Linked DNA regions of Caenorhabditis elegans. The protein of the gene in region 1 purifies or fractionates together with the protein of each later gene. This does not show direct contact. Each region holds a gene or a part of one and is shown on either strand. Other genes may lie near its edges.

The links.
Region 2: the proteins of Y16B4A.2 (region 1) and R09H10.5 fractionate together in Caenorhabditis elegans (co-fractionation; one large-scale study listed by BioGRID). This does not show direct contact.

Annotation. Positions count from the first base shown.
Region 1 is NC_003284.9:14,769,028-14,775,661, reverse strand, and holds the start of Y16B4A.2 (Carboxypeptidase), read left to right. Parts: upstream 1-3,810; 5' UTR 3,811-3,837; coding exon 3,838-3,966; intron 3,967-4,100; coding exon 4,101-4,171; intron 4,172-4,251; coding exon 4,252-4,675; intron 4,676-4,812; coding exon 4,813-4,904; intron 4,905-4,950; coding exon 4,951-5,076; intron 5,077-5,485; coding exon 5,486-5,567; intron 5,568-5,614; coding exon 5,615-5,763; intron 5,764-5,809; coding exon 5,810-6,104; intron 6,105-6,310; coding exon 6,311-6,487; intron 6,488-6,589; coding exon 6,590-6,634. Other genes in the region: Transcription factor unc-3, read right to left, coding at 1,986-2,071.
Region 2 is NC_003282.8:10,624,716-10,631,349, reverse strand, and holds the start of R09H10.5 (EGF-like domain-containing protein), read left to right. Parts: upstream 1-2,520; 5' UTR 2,521-2,535; coding exon 2,536-2,587; intron 2,588-2,902; coding exon 2,903-3,021; intron 3,022-3,071; coding exon 3,072-3,124; intron 3,125-3,591; coding exon 3,592-3,725; intron 3,726-3,915; coding exon 3,916-4,060; intron 4,061-4,106; coding exon 4,107-4,183; intron 4,184-4,237; coding exon 4,238-4,429; intron 4,430-4,472; coding exon 4,473-4,605; intron 4,606-4,676; coding exon 4,677-4,815; intron 4,816-4,856; coding exon 4,857-4,988; intron 4,989-5,035; coding exon 5,036-5,183; intron 5,184-5,229; coding exon 5,230-5,294; intron 5,295-5,345; coding exon 5,346-5,760; intron 5,761-5,805; coding exon 5,806-6,012; intron 6,013-6,063; coding exon 6,064-6,490; intron 6,491-6,634. Other genes in the region: F56C4.4 (Activin_recp domain-containing protein), read left to right, coding at 109-202, 310-473, 1,745-1,873.

The DNA.
Region 1 (6,634 bases):
AATGTTTTGAACGAACATTTTTACGAACATAACAATTAATAAAATCTACTTTTCGAGTAGCTAACATAAAATGCAATTATCTCTTTAATGAAATGAAACAGACTTCATGTTATGTTTAATAATTGATTATTGGAAATTGTAATATTTGTTGTATAAATGTTCAGAAGACGATTCCTTGTCTTTGCTCCTTTGCTCCTACGCCTTCACCCATTTCAGAAAAAAAAAACTCAACACAAAAAGTGAAGCATTCTACTATCTTTCCCAAACATGGTGATATGTGGTGTGCTCGTGGGCTCCTCACTTCACTCTGTCATATATGTAAATGGTTTGAAATCCGACAAGACAGCTGCGAACTCGTATAACTGGTATGTGTGTTTGTGTGTGGGTTTGTGAGTGCTCTGCCCCGTTTTCGAAATATGCAAATATTTCTGGACTAGCAATAAGAGATATATAACCGAAACGCGCGAAACGGAGATGGCCTCTCTCTGTCCACTTGTTTCCAGTTATCAGTTTGTAGCCATCTACGCAATTTGTAACATCTCAATAGCCCAAATCTCATCATTCACCATGTACGGGATTCTAGATTCGGAAGGAATTGAGAAATTTATGTAAAAACAAAATGCTCAAATCCAAGCAGAAAAATGAAAGAAATATGGATTACAAAAACGTTTGGGAACAACAAGATGATGTACTTTTTGAATTATTTCTAAAAGTTCATCTTCAACATCAGCACCTGAATCATAACAACGTATGACGCTATAGAAATGACGTTATACTTACTAAGTTAATTGTTAATTTAAGTGTTTCAAACATAATTCTAGACTTACTAAACTCATCGCCAATAAAGCTCAAGAATGTATCGCAAGCCATGAACACCTTACAATTTCCCCTTTGGGAATGAAATCCCGCTAACGTCATCAAAAAAAAAGGAGTTGGGTCTCTTCTATTTCAAAAGTGTCGTCCTAGAAGTTCTATCTTACCTTTGAAGGTCCGCAAAGACACCAGAATTGCTGAAAAGCAAGGATTCCAAGGTTTGAGTATTCATCAGATAATAATATTAACGCTCACCAAGCAATACTAATAAGAGTGGCTGTTATGGACAAAAAAGAAGGATGATAGTGGCTATCAATTCCGAGGGTGGGTTGTTAGGCAACGAGCCCGAGTACGGCTAATTGAAGCAAAGTCAAAAGAGAATATACAACTGTTGAGTTTGAGGATAGACGGAAAATATTATGAGCGAAGAGATATTTAGCTTGTGATAGCTAGTATACAGCTATTGTCATAGATTCGTTAGAATGACTAAAACTTTAGCCAATAGTGCATTGAGAATGAGGAGGCTTTCAAACATAATAATGAGGTATGAATCACCTTAAAGATACACATTTTGGTATTCAGGAATATGGTATCAAAATGTTTTTAGAAAATAGACAGGTTTAGAAAAGATGCTTACAAGGTGTATTTTTGTGATTTAGGGGGCTCATTCCTAGTTAAGAAATAGTTGTATATCTATGTAGTTGTATATTATAATTTCCAGATTATTTAACCCATTGAATGATATGTTTAGTATGAAGTATGCTTGGAAATAATATTAACCTAAGCTCAAAAATTGAACAAATTTCTTTGTAATGGTTATTAATGAATAACCTAGATATGATGGCATATAATACACAAACACCTAATCCTACAGGGTGGTCCATAATTATGGACTTGTTTTTGAAATTGTGTACCAAACGTAATAAATTTGAATTAACTTCTAGTAGAACCTCTTCGACTTTTACTAAGACAAATTTAATTAAGGAGTTACGTCTGAACGGTATCAAACCCAAAAATAAATAAATTTTATTTTAACAACTTCCAGTATTCCGGAGCCTCAGATCAGTACAGCTCCCATACCAGATTCTCTTTATTTATTTATTAAGATTCTGCTCAATTTTCCAGCATCAAGTTTTTCAAGGCAGCCTAAAAAGCCATGTAAAACAACTTACGGTTGAATGTGAAGATTTAATACAGGATTATAAGGTTCATCATAGAAGTTCATCTGGCCAGCTCTTAGCGGAGCTGTCAAACTCATGCCACAGTTTTCGGATCAAGTGGGAGGCAACAACACCAGCTACACAACCGACTCTGCAAAAGATTAATCTCTTATATGTCACAAGCGGTTTGGGTCCGACGGCCTCCCGTCCAAGTACGCCTGATAGATGCAACAAGGAGAGGAATAACGGAGCGAGTGTGAGGATTGAGCCAGCTGACTGTGAATTATGGTTATGGAGATATGCCTGATTAGCCGGAAGGCACGGCGCGAAACTTTGAAAATCTCTACAGCAAAAAAATGGGGGGGCAGCTGGGGGAAGATTGTTCGCACCCCTTTCACGTTCAAGCCTGGTGTGGTGGCTCACCAAAAATATTACAGAAAATAGTTGTATGACACACAGAAAAGTCAAGTGAAGGATTTCATCAATCATCCTAGAAAGCATAGCATACCACGCCTTGGTCCTCTTTTGTGCATACTTCTTCACAATCTTCAACAATTGAGACGTGAGAGGTCAGACAGACAACACTGAAGAAGGCAACACAAAAAAAACGGAAGAAGCACAAAAAAATAAAGAGATGGGAGAGGATGAGAGGATAGCGAAGAAAATTGATGGAGATTCGTGTGTCCTATTGCAGATTACGGTATCTGGAATCAAGAATGTAGAGTGTTTGGCTATTTGTGACCATCTTCTTTTAGGAACAAGCCAGGAGCCAGCATTTGAAGTCGTGCAAGTGAAGTGTAATATTGCTCATAGTTATCAACTTGGCGAAGTTATCACAATTGCTTTGATAAAACATTTATATACACAGAATATTGTTCTCAAGTCGGTATTTTTCTTTTCACTAAAGCAACGATGTTTCAGATCTACCGTAGTTGCTAAGATGTTTCCAGGTGTGAGTGAGTGCGCAAAGTTCGTTTTCAGGGATGCTGGAATTATCAAAAATATTTATCATGGTGTTGAATTGAAGCTGAAATATTATTATATAAGTTGTGTTATATTGGGTTTTATTTTATTTGTAGTTTCGGAACGCGAGGTCTTGTAGCCACTTGAATGCATAAGGTTTTTCTGCAATTAAAGTAGGTATTCAGTTGTGTTGTTCCAACTTCAAAAAAAAGTTGCACTGTTGTAAACTGGACCCCATAATTATGAACCACCCCGTTTGTATAAAGAATATTGTTTATGCACGTGGTGCCAGGCTGTCCCATCACGGTTTGATCTACAAAAAATGCGGGAATTTTTCTCCCAAAAAAAAATGTGACGTCAGCACATTTTTAACCATGAGAAATCAGTTGAGAACTCTGCGTCTCTTCTCCCGCATTTTTTGTAGATCTACGCAGATCAAACCGAAATAAGACACTCTGACACCACGTGTTTGTACAGTTTTCCAGTATTTGCAGTTTGTAATACAAATATTAAATACAATAACATAGCTTTAGATTTGTTGCATTCATTTGAAATTTTTTCTGATAATGGTGGGGAAATTAATTCTTCCCTTTTAAAAATGCTTGACAGAAATATTTTAATACACAGCTTCAATCGGCAGACTAAACTTAAAGAGCAGGTTTACGACAGCGTTGTTTTTTTTTTCTCGTCCTTCTATTTTTCGACATCGGAACGTCTTGTACCATCCAGCACTTATTTCACAATGTCAACTCACTTTACATATCAACGCTCACGAAACAAAATTTTACGACTGAAACGCTGAAACGACTGAACTGTGTGCTTGTAAAATTTCCTTTCATTATTCTATAAAAGCGATGCTCGGGCACTGATAGTGATTGCCATCATCATTTGTGCAATACGAATGGCGGCGCATCAAATTTTACTCCTTTGTTTGTTACTACTATTAGCGCCGTTGCGGAATGGACAAACCACGCCGACCACGAGAGCCCAGGCCGATTTGGTTAATCAACTGCCAGGGACTATTTTTCAGGTAATAATACATTTTATATTTTTGTTTTTTGAAAATATGTATGCAGAATTATTTTATTCCAAATTTCTGTGTTTTTAGGTAAAATTTAAACAACTAAAAAAGTTCGCAGGTTGATTAAACACATTACCTTTTAGGTGAACTTCAAACAGTATGCGGGTTACCTCAACTCTGATCCCAACAAAAACTACAACAATCTTCACTATTGGTAAGTTCAAGATATTAATCTAAACATTTTATTATCTGGATACTGAACCTTGACTACCAAACAAAATAAAACAATTTCAGGTTAATCGAATCTCAACTGACCCCTTCCAATGATACGCTCCTTCTTTGGATTAATGGAGGTCCGGGATGTAGTTCAGTTTTCGGGCAGATCCAGGAAATCGGCCCATTCCATGTGTCTAGTGATAGTCAGACGGTGTATGAAAATGTGTTTGCTTGGAACAAGGTGTCCAATTTGCTTGCCATCGACGGTCCGGGCGCCGGCTTCTCATGGCAACAAAATCTCTTTCAAGACGACAGCTACGTAACTGGTGCTCTTCTTAACGCTCTCATGGATTTCTATACGGTGTATCCAAATATGCTAAACTCTGATCTCTACATTGCTGGTGAAGGATACGGATCTTTCTTTGCTTCGTCGTTGGTAGAATCTCTGATGGTGAATAACACTCCAAGACCGGACATTGTTACCTCTCCAGTTAATATTCGAGTGAGTTATCTACAAAAGTTGTTGCAACACTATCAGATACATTAAAACAAATTTTATGAGTTTCTATTTATTCTTATCATAGTTCAATTCTGAAGTTTGCTGGGAAATTTTAAAAATGAAATTTTTGAAAAATTCAGGGACTTCTTCTTGCAAATGGTGACTTGAGTGCTCGCCTCCAATACAACAGTCTCATCCCATTCTACTACACTCATGGATTTGCCGGATCAAAGTTGGACCTATTTTTCTATCATTTATCATTTTGAATTTATTTTCAGACAATATGACGATCTCAAATCAGTTTGTTGCACAAATGCTTCCACCCAAACTTGCGATTTTTTCAACAGTAACACAGCATGCAGAACCAAAGCTGACAACGCAATTGCCACTTGGTCAAATTATCAGTACGTGGTTTTTGATCGTTTTTAATTTGGAATGCACACTTGATTTTATCACTTGTGAAATTGGGAATGGAAAGTCATCAAAATGAGGGGAAAGTGCTATGGTCACAAAATATTAGAGAACAAAGACCAGATTGCAACAACGCAACAATTTAAAATTTTAGAGCCAATAAGATAGTACTTACAAGAAGGGGGTGTTCTGAAATCAATGTAAATTAAATTCATTTTAGCCTTTAGTTTGATATTATCGATTTACTTGATCACACAGCTACAACTAGAAATGAACTTTTGATTTTTAGAAATGAACTTTTGATACAATTGATTCTATAAATTTACTGACCATCTATTTGAACACATGTTCAAGCTTTTAGTCATTTCCATACTTGAACATTCTGTATCAATTTGGTTTCAGAATTGACAACACAAACATCAACGAAGACTGCTACAGAAACCAAGCTGCATGGCAAACATCCTTCAAACAACTTGGAATTAATGTATTGAACATAACGCTTAACGCTTGACATTAGGAAGTAACTTTCAGGCAGCTGTAGATAACTACAACTCAACGGACTCATTCAGAGGATATCCATGCTTTGCACTTTCAGCCACCGCCGCTTATTTAAACAGACAAGATGTTCAAGCTGCACTTCATGTTAGTGTGAATGCAAGTACAAACTTCCAGACTTGCAGGTGAGCAGTTTGCATACTATGTAGTACTTAACAATAATATGATCAGAAATCTGACATACGGAGAACTCTCAACGGATTTGCAAATCCGAATTTCCTCAATTCTAACATCCGAGAAGTATGCTCAAAATAACATGAAAATCATGATCTACAATGGAGATCTGGATCTCTGGAGCAACTTTATTGGTGCTCAAAGATTTGGACAAGAAATTGCGGCAGCTCTCAAGTTGAACACAACCGAGGATCGCATTTGGAGACATAACTATGATTCGGCAGCATTTGTGTGGATGGATGGTGGAGTTATTACTAGTTACTCGAGCAATTTTCATATCGCATCCATTAGAGTAAGTTTATAGTTTCAGCAAATTCGAGAATTACATAATACAACTTTCAAGAATATCTAGTTGAAATTTTCGAACTTTTGATAAATTGATACAAGATTCTTTATCGATATCATATCGTATACTTCTATGATACTTTTTCAATACCTTTAAAGTTTTTCAAAAATTTTCCTTATTGCGTCAGCGAATGCAATTTCCCATTATTACAGGGTGGCGGTCACTTCGCACCACAAAACCGTCCGTCACAATCGCTACAACTATATCGCGACTTCGTCTTAGGACTGTTTTTCAACAATTGCCTCAGCCGAGTTAACAAAGTCGCCGCGCCATTGCTGCCCGCTTATCAACAACTTGCCGCGCCAGCTACTCGTCGTGATGCTGATAAGGTGAGTGTAGCTTTTGGCAAAAAGAATCACACTTTGAATGTAGTGTGCTCATGATCTATTTTGGAATTTGGCCTATTGATCTCTAATTTCTTTTTTTTTCAGATTGTGAATCTACCAGGACTCACATACCAAATCAATTTCAATCAA
Region 2 (6,634 bases), on another chromosome or scaffold:
TCTATCTAATGTTTTTTTTAAATAATGAAATATGATAGTTTTGATCGATATTATAAACAATCACATCACCACTTTCACTTTCTCGCCCAAATTTATTGATAATCAATCATGATGATTTTTCAAAAAACTCTCAAAATTTATTTTTTCTTATTCTTTTTCCCCACCTTTTTGACATTTTCATTGGCAATTAACTGTTATGCTGGTAAGTTATGAGTTCCACGTTTTCCTTTTTCATGATATATGGTCTGTGATAAGAAGACACGAAACAAGAAGCACCCATACACCTTTTGATAAGATATTAATTGGCAGGTAGCAGAGGATACATCAACGGAAAACATATTCAAAACTTTTTCAATGAGACTTGTGATGATGGAATGAAGTACTGTGTGGAATCTTATAGTGAAGATTTTGATACGGTCACCGCGAGTTGTCAGACGTTGAGTACAAGCAGAAGAATCCTGAATTTGTGCGAGGTATTCAAAGGCCCTTAGATTTTAACTAAAACCATTGAAAATAGTTTAAAACTGTCAAAGCGACCGTAATGAAACCCACTGAAATAAGTTTTATCGCATTTTGCTAAACATAAGCTTTGGAATTTTCAAATTTGGATCCAAGTGAGATTAATTTATGAAGTGATCACCAACCTTGCGTGCGATTTTAAACAAAATTCAAGAAGTTTTAATATAAAAACGTGATTTTCTATAGTCATTTGACTAGTTTGATCAATTTTCCCACTGGCTTTGCAACGCCTTTACCTATTCTAATAATCCAAACTATTATTACAATTCTGAACCTTATTTTGCACCTAACGAAGTACGTTTTGTTTGCAGAGTCTGCATGAAAAGGTTCAGAGTAACAGGATTTTCTGATTTATGCACATTTTCTTTGTATCTTTGCAGAATTTTCATTTACTTATTTTTTTTAGCAAAATAGCAAAATTAAATTTACGAGCTACACTCTACTTTGTTAAAAAATTGTTTTAGGATATTTGAATAACAATCCTGGTGATATAAATTTTCCAGTAACATGTGAAAACACTTTTTCAAGCATATAATTTGTAATCTGATCAGAAAAAATATTTTCTAGACCACCGTGATATTCACGTGCACATACACCACGAAGAAAGCTTGTTTGTGTTCCATTGAATAATTATGAAATAATTCGCAAAACAATTATTGCGTGCAACCTTCTATTAGTGCATTTTGTTTGATTTAACGTGCCAGGTACTCGGGGCAGCCTTATCAAATCTATTTCCAGCAAAACTTTCATCATTTCCAGCTGACTTCATTAAAATTACCACTTCCGAAAGTTGTAAGAACTTTTGATAGGGTTTCAAAAGACTTATGTGACGCATTTTTCAATACTGGTAGATTAGGCAAAGTAGTAAAGGGGATTGGCTATTAGAGTCTTTGAGCACAGATCACAAGTAGGTTACGCACTGAGGCTACACGTGTCAAACTAGATTTAAACTCAATAAAAGGGGGTTCTTGAACAAAATTCAAATGAATTGATTTTGCTTCTACTTTTACAGTTTTTTAAATATTTGTTATCTTCTGAACAATCTCCATTTCTGATCTGTAAGATCAAAGGATTTATCTATTTTGCAAAAAAAAAATTACATATTCGCCGAACTTTGAGCTTGTATAATACAGAAAACAAAACTGTTTCCTTATGAATTTTTTGAACCATGTTAAATTAATTGACTAAAGTTCAGTAGAGAAATAAGATTATTTTTATTTTTCAGGGTGATCGAGTTTCCACAAACATCGGAGTGACAACGAGATGCTGTTCGGAAAACATGTGTAACGATGTTGGAATTGAGAAAAGGACCAAGAAAGATTCAAGTGCAGGGAAACAAAAAATTGAACATTAAATTCAATGAGCGTTTTTTAAGTTGAAAACAAAGTTCGAAAACCGTATTTCTTCTATTAGTATGGCTGTGACTAATTCTCAAAGGGGCAAACTTCAGGACTGCAATGGCAAATATCAATATTAATATCAAGATTTTCCTGTGTTTCCGATTACTACTTTTCATTTACTTACTGTTAAAATTTCAAGTAGAATCAAAAATTTCAAGATTCAAAAAAAAAGATGATAATTGCTACAAGAAATAACAATAATTCCAATTTTTATCATTCGTGAGGTGGTTTTCTGACAAAAAAAATGAAGGCAGAGAAAAATACATACAGATTGACTGAAAATCAAAAATTCCGGAATCCGGATCTTTGGCAATCCGTAAATCAAAATGCAATGTAATCAATAATGCATTTTTCAAATATCCAACTTTCGTTTTATTTCTCCAAAAAAATTTAATAATAAGAATTGAATACACATTCGATAGCGCCCCATTTAATTTATGATTGTACTTTATATTTTTGAGGACCCAAATAACCAATAAAAGTTTCAAAATGAATAAATTCATTGATAAGCTAATGGGCGAGTACAGGCTAATAAAAACTGCAGTTTCCGATAAGCGATGCATGCCATCGAGTTGCCGATTTTGACTTCAGTTCGGTCGTCAGAGACCAAACCAAAATGGCGCCTGCTACAAAGGCCATTGGATTGCTACTGGTTATTATAGGATTGGGTAATTTTTTTAATGTTTTTCAGTTTAAAAAATACCGTATTTTTCTTATTAACGTTGAATTTTCGTTTCCCCATTTGACAGCTCCTTGTTCAAATTTGGTTCTGATTTAAAAAAAAATTAAATTTATGTTGAATCGGTTCCAATGTAGAAAGTGAATTATAAAAATAAATAAATAAAGAGTTATAATAACTGTAATTTTTATCCAAGTATTCCAAACAAATTAATTTTTCATAGACAAAGTTTGTCTGAATTTCAAATTTCAAAACGCAGAAACTTATTTATTGGTTTTCAAAAAAATTTGATCACCATTTACAGCCGCTGGTGTTCAATATGAAATTCGTGGTAACATTGATCTCATCAACAGTTACGATATCCATCCGGACTATTACAATGAAAAATCATTCACGGAAAAGTTGAACAAAGTTTCGGAACGGGTGAGTGACGGTGCATTACACGAATTTATTTTTCAAAAAATTATTTTCAGTTTTCACAAGTTGTTGGACCAGATTTCAAAGAGTTTTTTGTTCATGATTACAAGTGAGTACTGGAAATATTTAAAGAAGATGTATTCTGAATGAGGGAATTGCTGAAAAGTTTAGTTGAAGAAATTTACAATTTCTTTTGATTCTATAGCATCTTTTGGAACTGGAACTTTTTTATTTTTAATTTCACCATTTCATATATCTTTATTCAAATACAAATATGAAAAATACAGAAAATTTCGAAGAAGTTGTTTTATTAATTAACTTGAAGTAGTTTATAAACTGAAACAAATTTAGTTTTTGCAATATTTTGTTCAAATATAACATTTTATTGAGAAAATTTAAAATATTAAAATAAATCTGATACATTGAAAATTTCTTTATTTACATTTTGGTCCATTTTTCACACATTTCTATACACACACAATAATAAGATAATGTTTCCACAGTTATAATTTAAAAACAAGCAACTCATTTCCCTCTACCGATCAAAAAATTTCAAAAAATCATTCATAAATCCAGAATTCACGGTCAAGACACCGCAGTCTTCCATGCTCGTCTAACACTTGTCTCATCTCTAACAGTTTCCCGACAAGACATCATTGACCAAATCGTGGCGACGGACGACGTGCAAATATATTTCTTGCGAAAAAATGGTATGGTTGAACTCTATCATTGTGCCCCGTTTGTTCATTAATCAAATTCCGCCTTTCATCAATGTTAATTTTATCTACACTTGGTGGTGGAAACTGTAAAATATGTATTCTTCAAAGCGCAAGGTCGTAAATTTTGTGTTGCGTCAGAATGTGCAGTACACTTATTATTAACACCTAACATCAATTTCAGAATTTGAAGTACAAGGGGACAGTGTTTCGAGATTCAGAGTAGTTCGTGCTGACGTGAGCAATTGCTTGCATGGAGGTATTTTATTGCCAAATGCTACCTGTTCTTGCTTACCATACTATTCTGGAGCTAACTGTGAAGTGGTGACGTATGTTTTTATATTTGAATGTTTTAAATATAAATTTTATTTTCAGTTGCCGCAACAATGGTATTGGATCAAGTGGAAGATGTTCATGTCCTCCTGGATTGTATTCTGCTCATTGTGAAGCAAGTATGCTTTCAAAATCAATTTAAAAAATCAATTTCTGAAAATCAAAGTTTTCAGGAACTTGTGTCACCAAGATTGACTCCGTCGTTGACTTCTCGTCTCAGTCACTCATTATTGCTATCAACACTAGAACATCGATGGCATACGATTTGAGCATGATCATTGAAAATATTCCAACATTGGTGACGGATTACCAAAGTCAAGGAGTCATTCTTTCGAGCTTCATCGTCACCGTCTACAGATATACAAGTTAGTTTTAAACATAGTTTTGGTTGAAAACTTCAAATCTCAGAATCCGTATACTTCATGGAAACGAGTGCCTTCACAACATCCGATGCTATGATTGATTACCTTCACAGTGTGACCATTGCTCCATCATCTGATGATCAACCTCTTCTTGACGCTATTGCTAACTCTCAATCCACGTGGGTTTTAGATATTTTCAATAACTGGAGATCTTCAATCAACTTAAATGATATAAAATAAATGTTTTCAGCCAGCCAACAATGAGACCAAAATCAACTGTTTATGTTTTTGCTGATTCTGAGAACTTATTGGATCCAACTCCCTCAACGCTTCTCAGTAGCACAAATGAAAGCATGGTCATCCAGCAGACTCTTGCCTGGAGAAATAAGGTCATTTAAAGCTACAAACTCGTATACTTTTTCCATTTCAGATTATCTTTGTTCTCTCCCAAACGACATCAAGCCCAATTGAGCCAACTGGAAACCACTTCGATGTGCTCCGCAGAGTCGCTACGGCTGCTCATGGAGACATTTTGATGATTGATAAAACGGAAATTGTCGAAGTGAGATCATTTCTTATAACTCTAGATCAAAGTTACTCAATTCTCAGGTTCTCACTCATCTTCTTTTCTACACAATTGGTGGACAGAATACATATGTGCAATACTACAATAATGTTGCCAAAAATATTCCAGTGCAGTCGGATACACCAACACAAACAACATATATTATGATGACAGTTGAGAATGGAGAATCACGTTAGTCAAAAAATGGAATCTGCAAAATTGATGTTTTTTTTTTCAGTTCCAAATATTCAAGACACCAATGGTAACACATTGAAGCCCACATCCTCTGGACGAAGATTTGCTGTGAGCCTGAGTTAAACTATCACCTATCACATAATAAAAATAGGTTTTCAGGTTTATCGTGTATTCCAAAGTTCAACCACATCAGTTACCATCACAGGAGACACAATTCCACTTCATAATACTCGTGTGTGGTTCACTTCAATGGACGATGTTCTTGTGTCATACTCTGAAGATGATACTGTTGATAACAATTATGCTCACACATTCAATGGATATTATCAACGGCCATCTCTATATTCTTCGTTTGCTACAACTACAAGTCTCTCAGTTTCAACCGCTAATTCTGTCACTTCCGGTGTGATTTCTGCTGCTGTTACAGCGACAGCAAAAGCAACATCATGCATCTTCCAGTACCAAATCGCAAATGCTACTTCGTGTACTCCAGGTCCATATGTTCATAATGTGGTTGTGTCTGCTTCCGATGGAAACAAGTACCGTGCAGTTCCAGGATATTGCTTCACGCCAGGTATGTAGTCTATTTCATTTTTCCGATCAAATACGACATTTTTAGATTCCCACATGGCCGCTCCGTGGTCATGTCTCAACAACGGAACCCGCTCCGGAATAAGCACTTGCTCATGCACAGCCAACTGGGGTGGACTTCACTGTGAAGTTCCAAAATGTGTGAATGGAGGATCACCTGACAAGTTCCCCAACGGTGGTGGTCATGGAAACTGCATTTGTCCATTTGGTGTTTCTGGAAGTTTCTGTGAAATTTGTAAGTTTTTCAGTCTTCTCTGAAATCAGATTCATACCTTCACTTTTTTAGTGACATGCAGCACCACATCCCCCGACACCTTCCAATCTTACAATCGGTCATTTGCTGTTGTTGTTCAAAACTCTTTATCTGCTAATCAAGCTCTTGTGCGGCTTAATGATGGTCTCCGTGCAATGCTCAATCAAGGACAGTCTAATGATTTTGAAGATTTTGTGCTTACGACATTCAAGGCTAGAACAGTCAACGGAGCATCATTCCCAGATGTATCGTCGTCCAAGTTCAGCTCAGCATCTGCTTTCCTTAACGCTACCAACGACATTGGAATCGGATATTCATATTCTCCAAGTGGACCTCAGCCAGGACTATTCGCCTTGGAAACTACAATGAGATCAATGGATTTTGATAAATCCTCAATTTTCTTCTTCACTGATTCTGCGTCTTCGGTGGTGGAAGCTTCGATGAACTTCTCCGATATTGTGTAAGTTAAGAGTATTAAAAAGTTGTTGTTTGTGAATTTTTATATGTATAAGAATGGTACCATATTTTTTTCCGTCAACCTAGATTTCGATTTTTATCAGTTAATATTATTTAGAATACTTTATCTTTCTTCAAATTGTTTGTA